2 linked regions of the Astyanax mexicanus genome follow. Each later gene encodes a partner of the first gene's protein in a complex. Links are inferred from orthologs where the notes say so. Each region holds a gene or a part of one and is shown on either strand. Other genes may lie near its edges.

Evidence for each region. Proteins that work in one complex are often made in the same cells at the same time.
Region 2: the proteins of ncapd3 (region 1) and ncapg2 are in contact, whole or in part, in a cryo-EM structure (PDB 9F5W), measured with the Homo sapiens proteins. The link is inferred for Astyanax mexicanus from reciprocal best matches to the Homo sapiens genes NCAPD3 and NCAPG2. Residues at the interface, in NP_056076.1 of Homo sapiens: Glu1213, Lys1216, Ile1217, Pro1218, Leu1220, Gln1247, Ser1250, Glu1251, Tyr1254, Lys1258; in NP_001268861.1 of Homo sapiens: Phe291, Lys332, Pro333, Ile334, Trp336, Lys340, Ala341, Arg342, Arg347.

Annotation. Positions count from the first base shown.
Region 1 is NC_064432.1:8,247,215-8,254,997, reverse strand, and holds the start of ncapd3 (condensin-2 complex subunit D3), read left to right. Parts: upstream 1-4,728; 5' UTR 4,729-4,780; coding exon 4,781-4,832; intron 4,833-7,783. Other genes in the region: primpol (DNA-directed primase/polymerase protein), read right to left, coding at 177-271, 1,369-1,551.
Region 2 is NC_064415.1:4,512,447-4,519,583, reverse strand, and holds the start of ncapg2 (condensin-2 complex subunit G2), read right to left. Parts: upstream 3,065-7,137; 5' UTR 3,017-3,064; intron 474-3,016; 5' UTR 448-473; coding exon 370-447; intron 1-369. UniProt on the Homo sapiens protein: Regulatory subunit of the condensin-2 complex, a complex which establishes mitotic chromosome architecture and is involved in physical rigidity of the chromatid axis.

The DNA.
Region 1 (7,783 bases):
AAACCATGATGTGTTTATAAACACTGAACACGCGGTTGAGACCAAATCATGGTGAACTGACCAAGAGACATATTCCACAATAACTTATAATATGATTTATAATTATATAAAACAAAATACTAAAACATAAATAACTTAATTACGGCTTCCCTTCTCTTATAAATAGTGAAGCATACCTGTAGTAGTGCCAGAGTTCACTGTAGCTGGTCACTAAATAAACCCTCTGTCCAGCACCTGTGCCTTCTTTCTCCAGAGCAAATACATGCACATCCTAAAAGAGGGAAACACAAACAGTCAGCATGCTTACAAGTAAGTTGCGTTGCCCTAAATCAGGGGTTCTTAACCCTTTTCAACCCTTTATAGGATGTACATTTATTTTTATTTAATAATATTTACAATTAATAAATGCTTAATAAATATGTGCCGTTTTAAATTTTCAATGGTGATTTTAATGTTTTTTTTGTGTTTCAAGCAAAAAAATGCCTTAAATATATAGTTTTCGTTAATATGGTGACTAACCAACAATTTTTTTTTTAAAATAATGCAAAATATTGCTTATTATTGTTATCGTTGAAATCATCTCTGGCAGGAGGTTCGATTTGACCTCATAATATTAATTTAGGTTGGCAGATTTGTAAGCAGATTTTTTGTTTTACAGCAGGTAATACAATCAATCAGGAAAGAAACATAATTTTATACATATATTTCCAAAAAGGAAGTCTTAAAATATATAGTAATAGACAGCAACATGCTTAGAGAAAAATGATTTAGAGTATAAGCTTTGTCAGGTCAAACGCTTGTCCCACTTGAAGAAACATGAGAACAGCTTTATCTAAGGAGCTCCTGCTGCTGTTTCTTACTGTAAAATAGAACAACAACAGCAAATGACCAAAGTTTTCCCAATTATTAAGAAAAAGAGAGGAATGGAATTACACAATTGTTCCACAGCTTGGAAAAACTTTCCTCTCATTCCCCAAAGAGCCTAGAATCAGTCCTGAATGCGAAATCCTCATTCAGTCATAACCTATCCCTAAAACTCTGTATACGAGGTGCAAAAAAACATCAAGAGCAGTAACTTTAGCCCTGTATCAACATGTTATTACTGTAGCATGAAAAATAATTGTTGTTTTTTGTATTTTCTTTCTCTTTTAAAAATCAGAAAAAGGTCCTGAAAAAGTATTGTCTGAGGTTTAGTATCGAATTCAAAGTATCGCATCGGTATTGAAAATTTAAAAACATTACCCAGCCCTATTCACAACCCCCAAGGTTGTTAAGAATCCCTGCCTTAAATATTCAGTATATTTTTATTAAATATTTCTGCAAGTAGTTGATTGGTTAGAAGTTATGAAGTGAAATCAGCTGTATGACCTGTTTGCAGCGCTGGCTGAAGGCGATGGCGGCGCTCTGGCGTGGGAAAAGCCTCCAGACGGAAGAGGGCTGCCACGGGCGAGACAGGCGAGGTTTATATGGAGAGCAAATAGGAGCAGATTGAAAGGACTGAGCTCTCTGCTCTACAGACTTCACTCTATCCAGCCACTTTCCCTTCGTCATCCTGACACTGTAGCCGGAGATTCACCTGCAAAACAATAAAAAAAAAAACATTACATATATATTATAATATATAGTATGATATATATATATATATACATATATATATATATGTATATATATATATATATATATATATACATATATATATATATATATATATGTATATATATTATATATATATATATATATATATATATATATATATATATATATATATATATATATATATATATAGCAACTGCTTAGCAACACGTTAGCAACCACCACGGATATCATAGCAACCACCTAGTAACACCCTAGCAACCACCATGGATGCACATGGAAACATGTAATCCGATTTATGTAAATACATTACTTAGCAACCACCTACCAACCTCTTAGCAACACCATAGCATCACCTTAGAAACAACAAAGCAACTACCATGGATACCATAGCAACACTTTAGCAACCACCTAGCAGCACCTTAGAAACTACATAGAAACCGACATAAATACCATAGCAACAACTTAACAATCACCAAGCAACTGCTTAGAAACTACATAGCAACCAACATGGATACCATAGCAAGAACTTAGCAACAACCTAGCAACCGCATAGCAACACTTTAGCAACCACCACAGACACCATAGCAACCACCATGCACACCACACCAACACCTAAGCAACCACCTAGCAACTGCTTAGCAAGACGTTAGCAACCACCAGACACCATAGCAAGCGCCAACAAGATAGCAAAACCTTAGCAACCACTTAGCACCACTTTAGAAACAATATAGCAACCACCACGGATAACATAGCAACACCCTAGCAACCACCATGGATGCACATGGAAACATAATCCGATTTATGTAAATACATTACTTAGCAACCACTAAGAAACTAAATAGCAACAAACATCGATACCATAGCACCACTTTAGCAACCACCTAGCAGCACCTTAGCAACCAACTACATAGCAACCAATACATATACCATGGCAACACCTTAGCAACAACCTGCTCAGCAACACCTTAGCAACCACCAGACACCATAGCAACCACTTAGCAACAACTTAGCAACCACCATGGATACAGTAGTAACACCTTAGCAACCACGTAGCAACTGCTTGAAACAGCTTAGCAACCACCACAGACATCATAGCAACCACGTAGCAACAACCTAGCAACCGCTTAGCAAACACCACAGCAACACCTTAGAAACAACATAGCAACCACTTAGCAACCACCACAGACACCATAGCAACTACTTAGTAACCACCACAGACACAATAGTAAAACTGTAGCAACCACCACAGATACCATGGCAACATCTTAGCAACTACCAAGCAACCGCTTAGCAACACCTTTGCAACCACCTAGCAACTGCTTAGCAGCAACACCTTAGCAAACACCACAGACACCATAGCAAGCGCCTAGCAACCACTTAGAAACAACATAGCAACCATCCTGTGTTTTCTTCAGGAAATGCACTTTTCTTGTTAACTCTAATATTAATGTTACAGTTGAGTTAAATAGTTGGCGAGTTTAGCAGAGTTGTTTTGGACCTGATACTTGTGAGTCAAGAGAGATAACGTTAATTAGTTACAAGGTAACTGTGCGTTGGCTTAATTATCTCGCGAGAACTAGTTTATAGAACTGGCGTTAAAGCAACAGGACTTTTGATAGCTTGAGCTAGGCTAGCTTAGCTAAAGATTGAACACTCACCTGTTAACCTGAGGATTTACAGTCTTATAAACGCCTCTTTTCACCGAACCAAAGTCTTTTTCACATGTTCCAATCAGTCCTCGCGATTCTTTATCCTCTAAAACCCGGTTTTTACAGTTTCTCCGCTTTTCTCAGCGCCTCGCTTCTTCCTAACCAAACTTTCAAACCCGCCGCGGTTTGTTTTGATGTTCGCGGGGCCGCGGGGCACGCCGGGAAACCCAGCTGTTCCGCGGCTAGGGCTGCGGCTGTGTTCCGATTGGAGGAGGAAGCTCCCTTCCTTATACTACGCTCCCTATCTAGTGCGCTGTGGTCTCTCTGTCTCTGGCTAGCCTTCAGCTAGTGCACTAGTACACAGAGAGAAGTGCCCTAGCTCAACAGCGCTTGGGTTTGGGTTTATTGGGACACCGCCCATCTCCGCCGTTACATCAGAGAATAGTGAGTGCGCGCCGCTAGAAGGAGCCAGCGAGGGAGACCAAAATGAATGGGAGGGAATGGATCTAAACGGCAAACTTAACACAATTATTATAATTATACATATTAATTTACATTTAAATGAATCTTTTTGTAGTATCTTCAGTTGTTGTAGTATAATATTCCTGAGATTAAATAAAAAAATTGTCATATTGCCAAAAATATATTGTTACTACAAAAATACCCTAAAATATTGTGATATTATTTTAGGCCTATATCACCCAAGCGTTTTTTTTAAGTCTTTTAAACATATAACGTGGTATGTTTTAATTACTTGAGAGGAACACATTTCAGCTATTAATGAAAAAAATATGTTTTAGAGTTTAGTGCCTCTTTAATATCGGATAATATCTTTGAGTGTAAAAGAAGAGGTAAGATTTAGGGGCACATTGAAGATCATTCATGCCCCTCTCACCCAGCAGGAGAAGCAGAGAAGGTATACAGAGGAGATTGCCCACTTTAGCATGTGTTCAGAGTGTGTTTGCCACTAGGGGGCGCTCCCTAGTGAGACAAAAATGAATGGGTTTTAATGGAGCAAATGAGAAAAATCAGAATTTATTAATGTTTTATCATTTTTATAATAAACAATGCCCTCATTTTATATAAAAAACACAAAATGTATTGTTTTAGCACTGTATAAATAATTTTAAAATATTTTAAACTCCAGTTATACACTTTTTAAACCGTCTCTCTAGCGCGCCTCACCTCACCAACCAATCAGCTCACAGCGATAGCAGTAACGCTAGCGTCTTTACGGCTTAAAACCTGTTTACTTTAGCAAAATAAAAGTATTAAAGTAGGCTTTCTTTACTGCTTTTGTAAGGTATTTTAATTTACTATAAAACTGTTAAGAAATATCCCTGAGGAGTAGTTAGTTAATATTTTTAATTTGTGTTTTTAGCCGTTTAGCTCCATTCACGCTCATTCATTTCTGACTCACTCGCGGGCTCCCCCTAGCGGTTTGCAGTCCTTTACTGCAATAAAGTGGGCAGGCTCGCTATAAAGCGGCTGTGGCGGCAGCAGTTGGCGGGTTGGCGGGTTGATTCAAATGAAAGATGGCGCTGATGCGGGTCGTGGAGCTGCTGAGACTCAGCGCGGTTTCTACAGGTAATTAATGCGTTTATAATGAAGAGAGCGGACACAAAATAATGTTTAAGACCTTTAGTATTAGGTACTTTAGTTTATACGAAAAAATACAGCGCATTTGTTCGGAAAGTAGCTCATTAGCTAGCTAACCTACTTAGGTTAGGTTGCCGGTGTTGCTAATCTAACTTACGATAACCAAAACATTAACCTTACCTAGCTAGGGTTAGTTAAATTAAATAACGTTAGTTAGCCTTTATTCTCGTTCAATAAATATCTTTCTACCCTCCACAGACTGTTTTAAGAAAATGCATTAATATGTGTCTTTTAGAATCGAAAATTGGCTTAGAATTCACTTGTAACGTTACTCATGAATTGACCGAAGCATAAATAAGAATATCTGGGTCCTGAATAGGGTTGAGAGGTTTATAGAATTTGATTAATTTTAATTGACACCACTTATATAAATACAATTGCATTTTACATTTCTTACGTTCATTCTTTTATGTACATTTCAATATCCACTATGATAATTTACGTCTGTGGAAAAACAAATGCGATTAATCGCAGTTAATAGAATTAATCTACAGGTTTATTGCTGTTTTCACAGAAGTTAAATTGGAGAATGTACCTTTTTATTTGATCTTTAACTGCGTATAGAAGCTTCCAGAAAGAATTTCACTAGCGTTTGATAACTAGTAGGGGGTGAGTGATAGTGCTCTAAAATAATAATCACAATATTTAAGGGAATTTTTTGTGATAATGATAATTTTGGCGATATAAAAAATCATTGACAATTTTAAAATTGATTTCCGAATCATATTAAAGTTATGTTTTGGTTTCAGTTTCATACATTTAGCAGAAATAAGTAGTAGAAAAAATAAACAACTGATATTTTGGTAATTATCATGTGATCTTTGTGGTGTTTGGATGCTTTGAGGAACTTACAGGATGGTATAAATGTGTAGAGAGTCTTATAAAAGCCCTATTTGGACAGGATTAGTTTCTCAGAGGGTTCTGGGGTCATTTTCTGGTTTATGGGGGGGTCCTCTGTGATTTTTATTCCTGTCCAGAACGACCATGTAGCTATGTGTTTTCTCAGACTCTGTCCTCTGCGAACATTACAGGCTGAAGTATCTACTGTTTTTCGCTGAACTCCGTGGCCCTCCGGTAATTTTAGCCCCGTCCGGACGCAAATCTGAGTTTTGTCACTTTGCGTTTAATAAAATGGCTATTTGTCCGCTGCCGCGCACTGTAGTTACATTTTGGGAGCTCGTTTCCACGGAGATGCATGTAAAACATGGAGAGTGGAAATGGAGGAGCTACTGAACATGATGTTATGTGATCGAGAAAGCCTAAAAACTCACTGGTCGTCCTGTTTTTACAACTACAAGAGTTTTATCACTGAGTAGAAGTATTAAATATTTTTCACAGACGTCCCCCTGAGAAACTAATACCGTCTAAGTGCTAATTCAAATCAATAAATCAAGTTTTTAGAAACAGTATGAATTCTTTTTAGTTGAACACTGGCCAGTGTTCTCATGGCAATTAGGGGTGTCACGATTCTCTAAATCCTCGATTCGATTTCATTTTCGATTTGAGGGTCACGATTCGATTCGATTCTCGATTTTCTTGTTTTTTTTTCTTGTTATTATTTTATGCCTCATAAAATTTTAATATATTTATTATTATTATTATTATTATTATTATAAATATTATAAATATTATTATTATTTATTAAGATATATATGGTAATGCCATCTAGTGACTTATTTTGGTAGCAACAGTGTGCACTATTAAAACAAGCAGTTTATCAGAGCTGTGTGTGGATGGATGGTGAAACTGCTCACTTACATGAAGCTGCAGTTCTTCATCCAACCACTAGTCGGAGCTGCAGTCGCAGCTCACTACTTCAGTACAGCCCAGCCACGGGCTACAGAGCTCAGCCAGTCCGTTTTTACTGTTTCTGTAAACAAATAAAGGTTTTAACCCCACTAACCGGATAATACAGCTCACTACAGTTCATCTTTCAGCCCAAGCAGCTAACAGCAGCAGGTTAGAACAGCCGACACGGAGGCACTGCTCGGATTACATTATAAACAGGTCAGTTAGCGCGCTGCTAACCTCAGGATGTTTATAACTACGGAGTTTAGTGGACACACCACGGCCGCCAGGTAAGTCTTTTAAAGGCTACTGAAGACTATTAAAGGCTATTAGAGGTTATTGAAAGCATTATTGGGGGGCAGAAATCAGTACAGGCTGGTTAGATAAGTGATGTGGTGAAACTGTGACTAGCGCTGTCACAGTGATGTTTATTAACGTCATTAAAACAGATTTTGTCAGGTATTGTCTTATAAATATTTACACATAACTTATATCTCTCCTGAAAAGCTTTTATTTTAGTCAGAAACACGCTTGTGTTTACTTTATCTGAGAGAAAAATGTTTTTTTAATTCAGTGGAAAGCAACAGGTGTAGTCAATTATAAGTTTAAGATTTTTAATCCACCTCACTGTGATCTATAGTCAGTGTTCTCAAGTCACACTAACACACGCATTTCAGCGAGTTCACACGCTCTCACCTGCGCGCACCCACCCCTCCGTCAGATACAGATACAAAACCTGCGCGCCCAACCCCCGCCCCCCCTCCCCCGTTGGACAGATAAAAAACAGTGATCACACTCCCGCCGACACTCAAAACTTGAGAGCCCTGTCTATATTTCTATAAATCCGTTTTCAGTTTCTCCTCAGTGGTTGAAAGGCAGCTGTCTCTCACACAGCAGAACTGAGGGCGGGGCTGCGCTATTAAATGAATAGGATGCGCTGTGTTGGTGCCGGGCCATTTGCATAGCGCGCTGCGCTATTTGCGGGAGGGATCGTCGATCCTCTTTTTGACTTCGATACTCGAGACCATGACCTCATTTCGATTCGATTTCGATAAAATATCGAGATCGTGACACCCCTAATGGCAATGCAG
Region 2 (7,137 bases), on another chromosome or scaffold:
CCTTTGCAGACACATTTCATATGGGCAAAAGTATTGGGACACCTTTACATTACACCTACAGGGACTTTAACGACATCCCATTCTTTATATACTCTACACCTACACCAAAGGGACTGAAAAAAATATTGAGTCTCAATACTTTTATCCATATAGTGTATATTTTGCAAGTAAAGACTACCTAGCTGAACTAATTTTCAGGTAACAAATTTTTCTTTAGTGGCCTCATGTCCCTTATTTAAATAAAAGCACTAAAAAAATAATTCAATACAAATGTATATCTCAAGACAAAATGCTCCACAAACTGTTATATGACTTTTTATACACATTTTTAGCTTAAGTATTGGTGGTTCATCAGATGCGAGTACATACGTGTAGCTTAATGAAGTTGAGAAAGTCCTGAACTTTGTCCGGATGAACAGAATCCAGGAACTCCTTTCTCTTCGACATCTTCTCAGATTAAACCTGAACGATTCCTGAAAAAAAACAAGATCAAAGAGAACAAGGTTAGATCTGCTCCTTTACAATTTCTTTACCAAACCTCATCATGTGACTTCCCAGGATGCACCAGTTCAGTGTGCAACATGGATCCAGCTCAGAGAATAACTCAAACACTAAGAAAACTCAGCAACATAAACGGCTGTTACCAAAGATAAATGTTGCATCTGCCATTAATCAATTCATAACGCAGCACATTTATGATAATATAATAAATAATCTGACTGTGTCAATAAAAATACGTGTGTTCAAAGTAGAGGTGCTCCATATCGTATTGTACTCAATGAGTGATGTTCTTGAAAACTAGTCAAGCTTTCTACTATGTATGTGTTTTGTTATTTAAGGATCTTGGTCAGTTGCTATTAATGAAATGAACAAATGTTTATAGATTGTTTCTACTGAATGTATGAGACAGTAACATTTATACTAAAGTTATTTAATTTTGTTGCAGTAGTAAATTCTTAAAATTATTTATTTTTTTCATATTGCCAAGAATATTATCGCAAATATACACTGAAATATTGTGATTGTTTTTTGCCATTTCGCCCACATCTAGTTTAGAGCATAATGTTTCATAATAATAATAATAAGAAGAAGAATCCTATCACCCACAGGTATCCAAAAAATATATTACATTACATTTCGCAGACGCCAAAAGCAACTTACAATAGTGAAGGACAAAAGTAATAAAAGTTTAAGGTAAAACATCTTTAAATAGGGCCTAAAGAAGGTTAAAGGGAAATAACGGGATAGAGGAGTGGAGAAGGGGAAGCAGGAGAGATCGAGAGAGTGTCATATTCTGATTATTACAGAACATAGAAATAACTCTCTCTTCTGTACTTAAGTACTAAAATGATGTATCTGTATCTACTGGATCTTTCAGAATCACTGAAGCTTTTTTCCCCATTGATTTTGATAAAATGATGGAATGATGGATGGATGGATGGAAATCATAATTCACATAATTCAGCCTCTTTCAAAATAGCACACTTACTTAACAGACTTAGTTACTGACTGATTCACTGACTCACTTACTGACTCAGTTACAGATTTACTTAGCTAGTTCAATTCTTAATTATAGATTTACTTAGATAATTAAAGACATCCTCACTCTCACTGATTCAGGTACATACTTAGCTAGTTACAGACTTACATACTCACTGATTATCAGAGGTGGAAAGTAATGAATTACATTTACTCACATTACTGTAATTGAGTAATTTGTAATTTTTTAAAGTAGTTTTTAAAATAGGTAAATTTACTTTTACTCAAGTACATTTTGACACAATTTACTTCACTATATTGGAAAACTCCTCGTTACTGAGTAGAAAATAAAATGCTGGGAAAAAAACAATTGTCTGAATTAAAATTTAAAAAACGAGGCAATAACGTCCTCAGGCAATGCAAAATGTGCCCCGTCCGACAGAGCTATCAGCTTTCAAAACTTCCACATCAAACCTGTGAAAGCATGTGGTTTTTATCATTAAACAATCTGCTTGAATGTTAAAAAAAAACATGTAAATAGCAGTTAAAGCACAGGAATGGCAAGTTAAAAAATAAGAATGAACTGTAAAACTATAAAAATACGATTTATATTCACCTATATGACCATAATTTCTAACAGTAAAGAAAATAAATGGATGATAGAAACCTATACCACTTGTTCTTGAAAATGTTTTATGGGGTGGTCTGAACAAATAATTACTGCCTGAAAGGTCCAAATTATTTTGAGGAATAATAGTTCATTTAAAACAATTTGATTTATGATTTGTTGTACTTTTTTACATCAAATAATTAAAAGTAGCTATGTAACTTTTACTCAAAGTACATTTTAAATTGAGTAAGTTACTTTTTACTTTTACTCCAGTAGATTTTTACTTTTACTTGAGTAGAATTTTAGATGGGTACTTTTACTTTTACTTGAGTAGAATTTTAGCAAAGTAAAGGTACTTTTACTTAATTATAATTTTTCAGTTACTTTTTCCACCACCGATAATTATATATTTAGCTACAGACTGACTTACTGACAGAGTTACAGATTTAACTAGTAACAGACTTACTTAACTTAACTTACTGACTGACTTAACGTTACAGACTCACTGACTTACTTAGCTAGTTATAGACTTACTTTTCCTACTCACTGACTTACAGACTCACTGACTGACTTACTTAGCTAGTTACACTCACTTACTTACTGCCTCACAGACGCACAAATGTACTGACTCACACAGTTACTGACAGGCTGTTTAAGCGGGGTCATATTGAACACTTTCCTGTGAACAGTAACAGTAACGTTACAGTAGTTAAACTAGCCTGACCGTTCAGGGTTCAGCGCAGCCCGATAATAACAGAGAGGAAAAACCCGAGATAAACCGGATTAAACAGCGCTGTACGGTGTAAACTGTGTGCTCAGCGCTGCCGGTGAGGGATTATTATCTGAATTTAATTATAATTCGGGTTATTAAAGTTATTTAGAGCATTTTTAGAGCAGTTTCTGTTAGTAAACACTGTAAACACTCACTCAGCCGCTCTCCTCCCGCGCGCTTCCCGCCCAAACGCCTTCAAAATGCGTCATGACGTCAAAGCGACGTGAGTTTACAATAACAGCGGAGAGCGCCGCCCTGCTGGCCGGAGAGGAGACCGTTAAATTATAATGACACAATATAATATAATATAATATAATATAATATAATATAATATAATATAATATAATATAATATAATATAATATAATATAATATAATATAATTCAGCATGAATAACTGTGAATTAAGAGAAGTAATGTTTAACTGTCTAAAATAAGTATTAGTCTTTTTTAAATATGTAATTGTCGTTAATTTAATACTTAATTAAAAAAAACATAATTTGCCATACATTTATTATATATAAAGTAGCTATATATTTTGCTCAGTGCACAGTTAGATATTTACTATTTATATTTAACATATTTTTTAAGCATACCTGTGTTATGTGAGTTTTATTTTGTCATATCACTCTATGATAAATCACGCATATCACGCCCTATGATAAACCGTGGTATATCCCATATCCACTGTTATTTCATACTTTTCATTTCACACCAAATTTTCTTTTTTAACATGATCCCTACTCTTTTATTCTTCTTTACCCCTTCTTTAAAGGTTGCAGATTAATTCCTGGAGTTGGGTGTTAAGAAATTCCCACAGGACAAATCTGAACTTTGGGTTTACAGTGTATATTAATAGTATATTAATGTAGGATAAAAATACTATATAAAAATTGGATTGTATGATATATTTGCAGCTGAGTACGTTACAACTGCACGTAGAATAGCTGCAATTATAAGCGATGTCCACAAGAGGTCGCCAAAACCCCGCTGATTTTAACATAAACAGAAATTGATCGTGGCGCTCCTGAGTGAGCCCATAATGAATGGGTTCCTTATGAGCAAAAAATAGAGTTTATGTATGTTTAATCATTTCTATTATGAAAAAATATAATTTTCTCAATGATATGTAATGATATGCAAAATGTTTCAGCATAGCAGACATCATTTAAAGCTTTTAAACTCCAGTTATAAACATTTTTAACGAGCCCTGGCTGTAACCCCAGCATCAGTAGCAGTCATGCTAGCGTCTTTACTACCTAAAACTCATTTACTGAAGGAAAACTCAATTATATAGGTATATTTTCTTTGCTGTTTTAGCAAAATACTTAACTGTACTTTCCAAAATGAAATGTATATCCTATCAAAGGGGTTATTTACTATAATTCATTTGTATATTTAGCCGTTTAGCTCCATTCACTTCCATTCATTTAGGACTCCCTCGCGGGCTCCGTCTAGCGGCTGTATCAAATAGTAAATTAAACAGATAAAAAGAAAGCATTAAAAGGAATATTAATATTCTGTAAAGTATTAATTAAAAATACTGAAGGAAGACGACCTGATACAGCAAGAAACCAGTACATTCTTAAAATAAAATAATTAAAATATTCTAAATTATATTAATGATGAAATAAAAAAAATAATGTTATTCCTATTATTATAAAAACATTGTTGATTATTGCTAAAAAGGTAAATAGTAATTATTATAATTAATAATAAATAATAGCACAGCGGATGTGGAAAAGAAATAGCAAATGCAGAGCAGCAGCCATTCCAAAATATATATATAAATATATATTTATTTAATTAATAAATACCTCCCGAGTAAACTCAAAGTAAAACAGAGTTTATAAATATATTTCATAATTTTTATACAGAAAAATAAAATCTAATTTTCTCAACGCAGAATTATATAAATGTTTTAGTATGACAGACATACTTTTTAAAGCTTTTAAACTCTGGTTATACACCTTTTAAACGAGCTCTGACTGTAACACCAGCATCAGTAGCAGTAATGCTAGCAGCTACTGCTTAAAAAAATCTTTTAAATATTTAATTTTCTCTTAATAATAAAATAAAAATGTTATGTTATTTCTAGTATTTTAAAAAACACTGTTGATTATTGATAAACAGGTAAATAGTAAGTATTATAATTAATAAAAGCACAGTGAATGTGAAAAAGAAAGAAGAAATTCAGAAAATGAAACATTTTTAATCAATAAAAATCTTTTTTAAAATCTTACATGACTTACATACAGGTTTCGCAGGCTTTAAATTAACAGTGCTTTACTGTACAGTCTGTACAGCGTTCTGTCTGATTTCTGTACAGAGATTTTTAATATAATAATAATAATAATATACAGTAATGTACAGCAGATACAAATACAAGCATTTCAAAATAAAAGTCACGGCCACAGCAGACTCACAGAAATACTCAATAATGTACAGAGTTCACAGCCTGGACTCTCTTTGGCAAAGAGTTTACTCACACTGGCCACTTTATCGGAAACACCCCTCTTGTAGCTCCACCCTGCTGAGGTTCTCATTTACATATCTCATATAAATATACAAGGTAGGTGTTTTTAATAAAGTGGCCAGTGTGTGGATGTACAAAAGTAGGTGTTTCCAATAAAGTGGCCACTGAGTGGATGTACAAAATTGAGGTTTCCAATAAAGTGGCCACTGAGTGGATGCACAAGGTAGGTGTTTCCAATACAGTGGCCAGTGTGTGGATGTTTAAGGTAGGTGTTTCTAATAAAGTGGTCAGTGTGTGGGTGTACAAAATTGGTATTTCCAATAAAGTGGCCAATGAGTGAGTAGATATACAAGGTAGGTGTTTCCAATAAAGTGGCCACTGAGCGGAAGAACAAATTTGAGGTTTCCAATAAACTGGCCAGTGAGTGGATGTACAAGGGTAAGTGTCTCTAATAAAGTGGCCAGCGAGTGGAACTACATGTCACGTGTTTCCAATAAAGTGGCCAGTGTGTTTATGTACAAAATTGGGGTTTCCATTAAAGTGGCCAGTGAGTGGAAGCACAAAACTGAGGTTTCCAATAAACTGGCCAGTGAGTGGATGTTTAAGGTAGGTGTTTCTAATAAAGTGGCCTGTGGGTGGATGTTTAAGGTAGATGTTTCCAATTAATTGGCCAGTGTGTGCATGTACAAAATTGGTGTTTCCAAGTGGCCACTGAGTGGATGCACAAGGTAGGTGTTTCTAATAAATCGGCCTGGGAGTGGATGTACAAGGTAGGTGTTTCCAATAAAGTGGCCACTGAGTGGATGCACAAGGTAGGTGTTTCTAATAAATCGGCCTGGGAGTGGATGTACAAGGTAGGTGTTTCCAATAAAGTGGCCACTGAGTGGATGTACAAGGGTAAGTGTTTCTAATAAAGTGGCCAGTATGTGGATGTTTAAGGTAGGTGTTTCCAATAAAGTGGCCACTGAGTGGATGCACAAGGTAGGTGTTTCTAATAAATCGGCCTGGGAGTGGATGTACAAAGTAGGTGTTTCCAATAAAGTGGCCACTGAGTGGATGTACAAGGGTAAGTGTTTCTAAAAAGTGGCCAGTGAGTGGAACTACATGTCACGTGTTTCCAATAAAGTGGCCAGTATGTGGATGTTTAAGGTAGGTGTTTGCAATAAAGTGGCCACTGAGTGGATGCACAAGGTAGGTGTTTCTAATAAATTGGCCTGGGAGTGGATGTACATGGTAGGTGTTTCCAATAAAGTGGCCAGTGAGCGAATGTTTTTTGGGATAGAAGTTTCCAATAAAATGCCCAGTGTGTGGATGCACAAGGTAGGTGTTTCCAATAAAGTGTCCAGTCACTCTACAGCTTTCTCATAAAAAATGCTACATCGTTTTTTTTACAGCAGTTAATCAAATAAATAATAAATGATTAAAGCTGTAAATCTGCTTGTGATGAACACAGAGCAGTACAAACCCCTGCAATTCTCAAAATCTGAGAGGATTCCCCAAAACAGTGCATAAATACCTGTACAGAGCTCACCTTGAAGGCTAAGAAATGAAGGCACAGGGCCGATACAGCAAGAGATGAGCTCGTCGGGATTCTGTGATCCACTGATTCTATCTCTCGCGGTTGTTGTTTGATCGTTTGAGGAGGTTTTTGATGAGTGTAAACACATGTGCATTCTACAGCTCTGGATTATTAAAATTAAGAGATCACTTCAGTTTCTGAATCAGTTTCTCTGATTTTGCTATTTATAGGTTTATGTTTGAGTAAAATGAACATTGTTGTTTTATTCTACAAACTACAGACA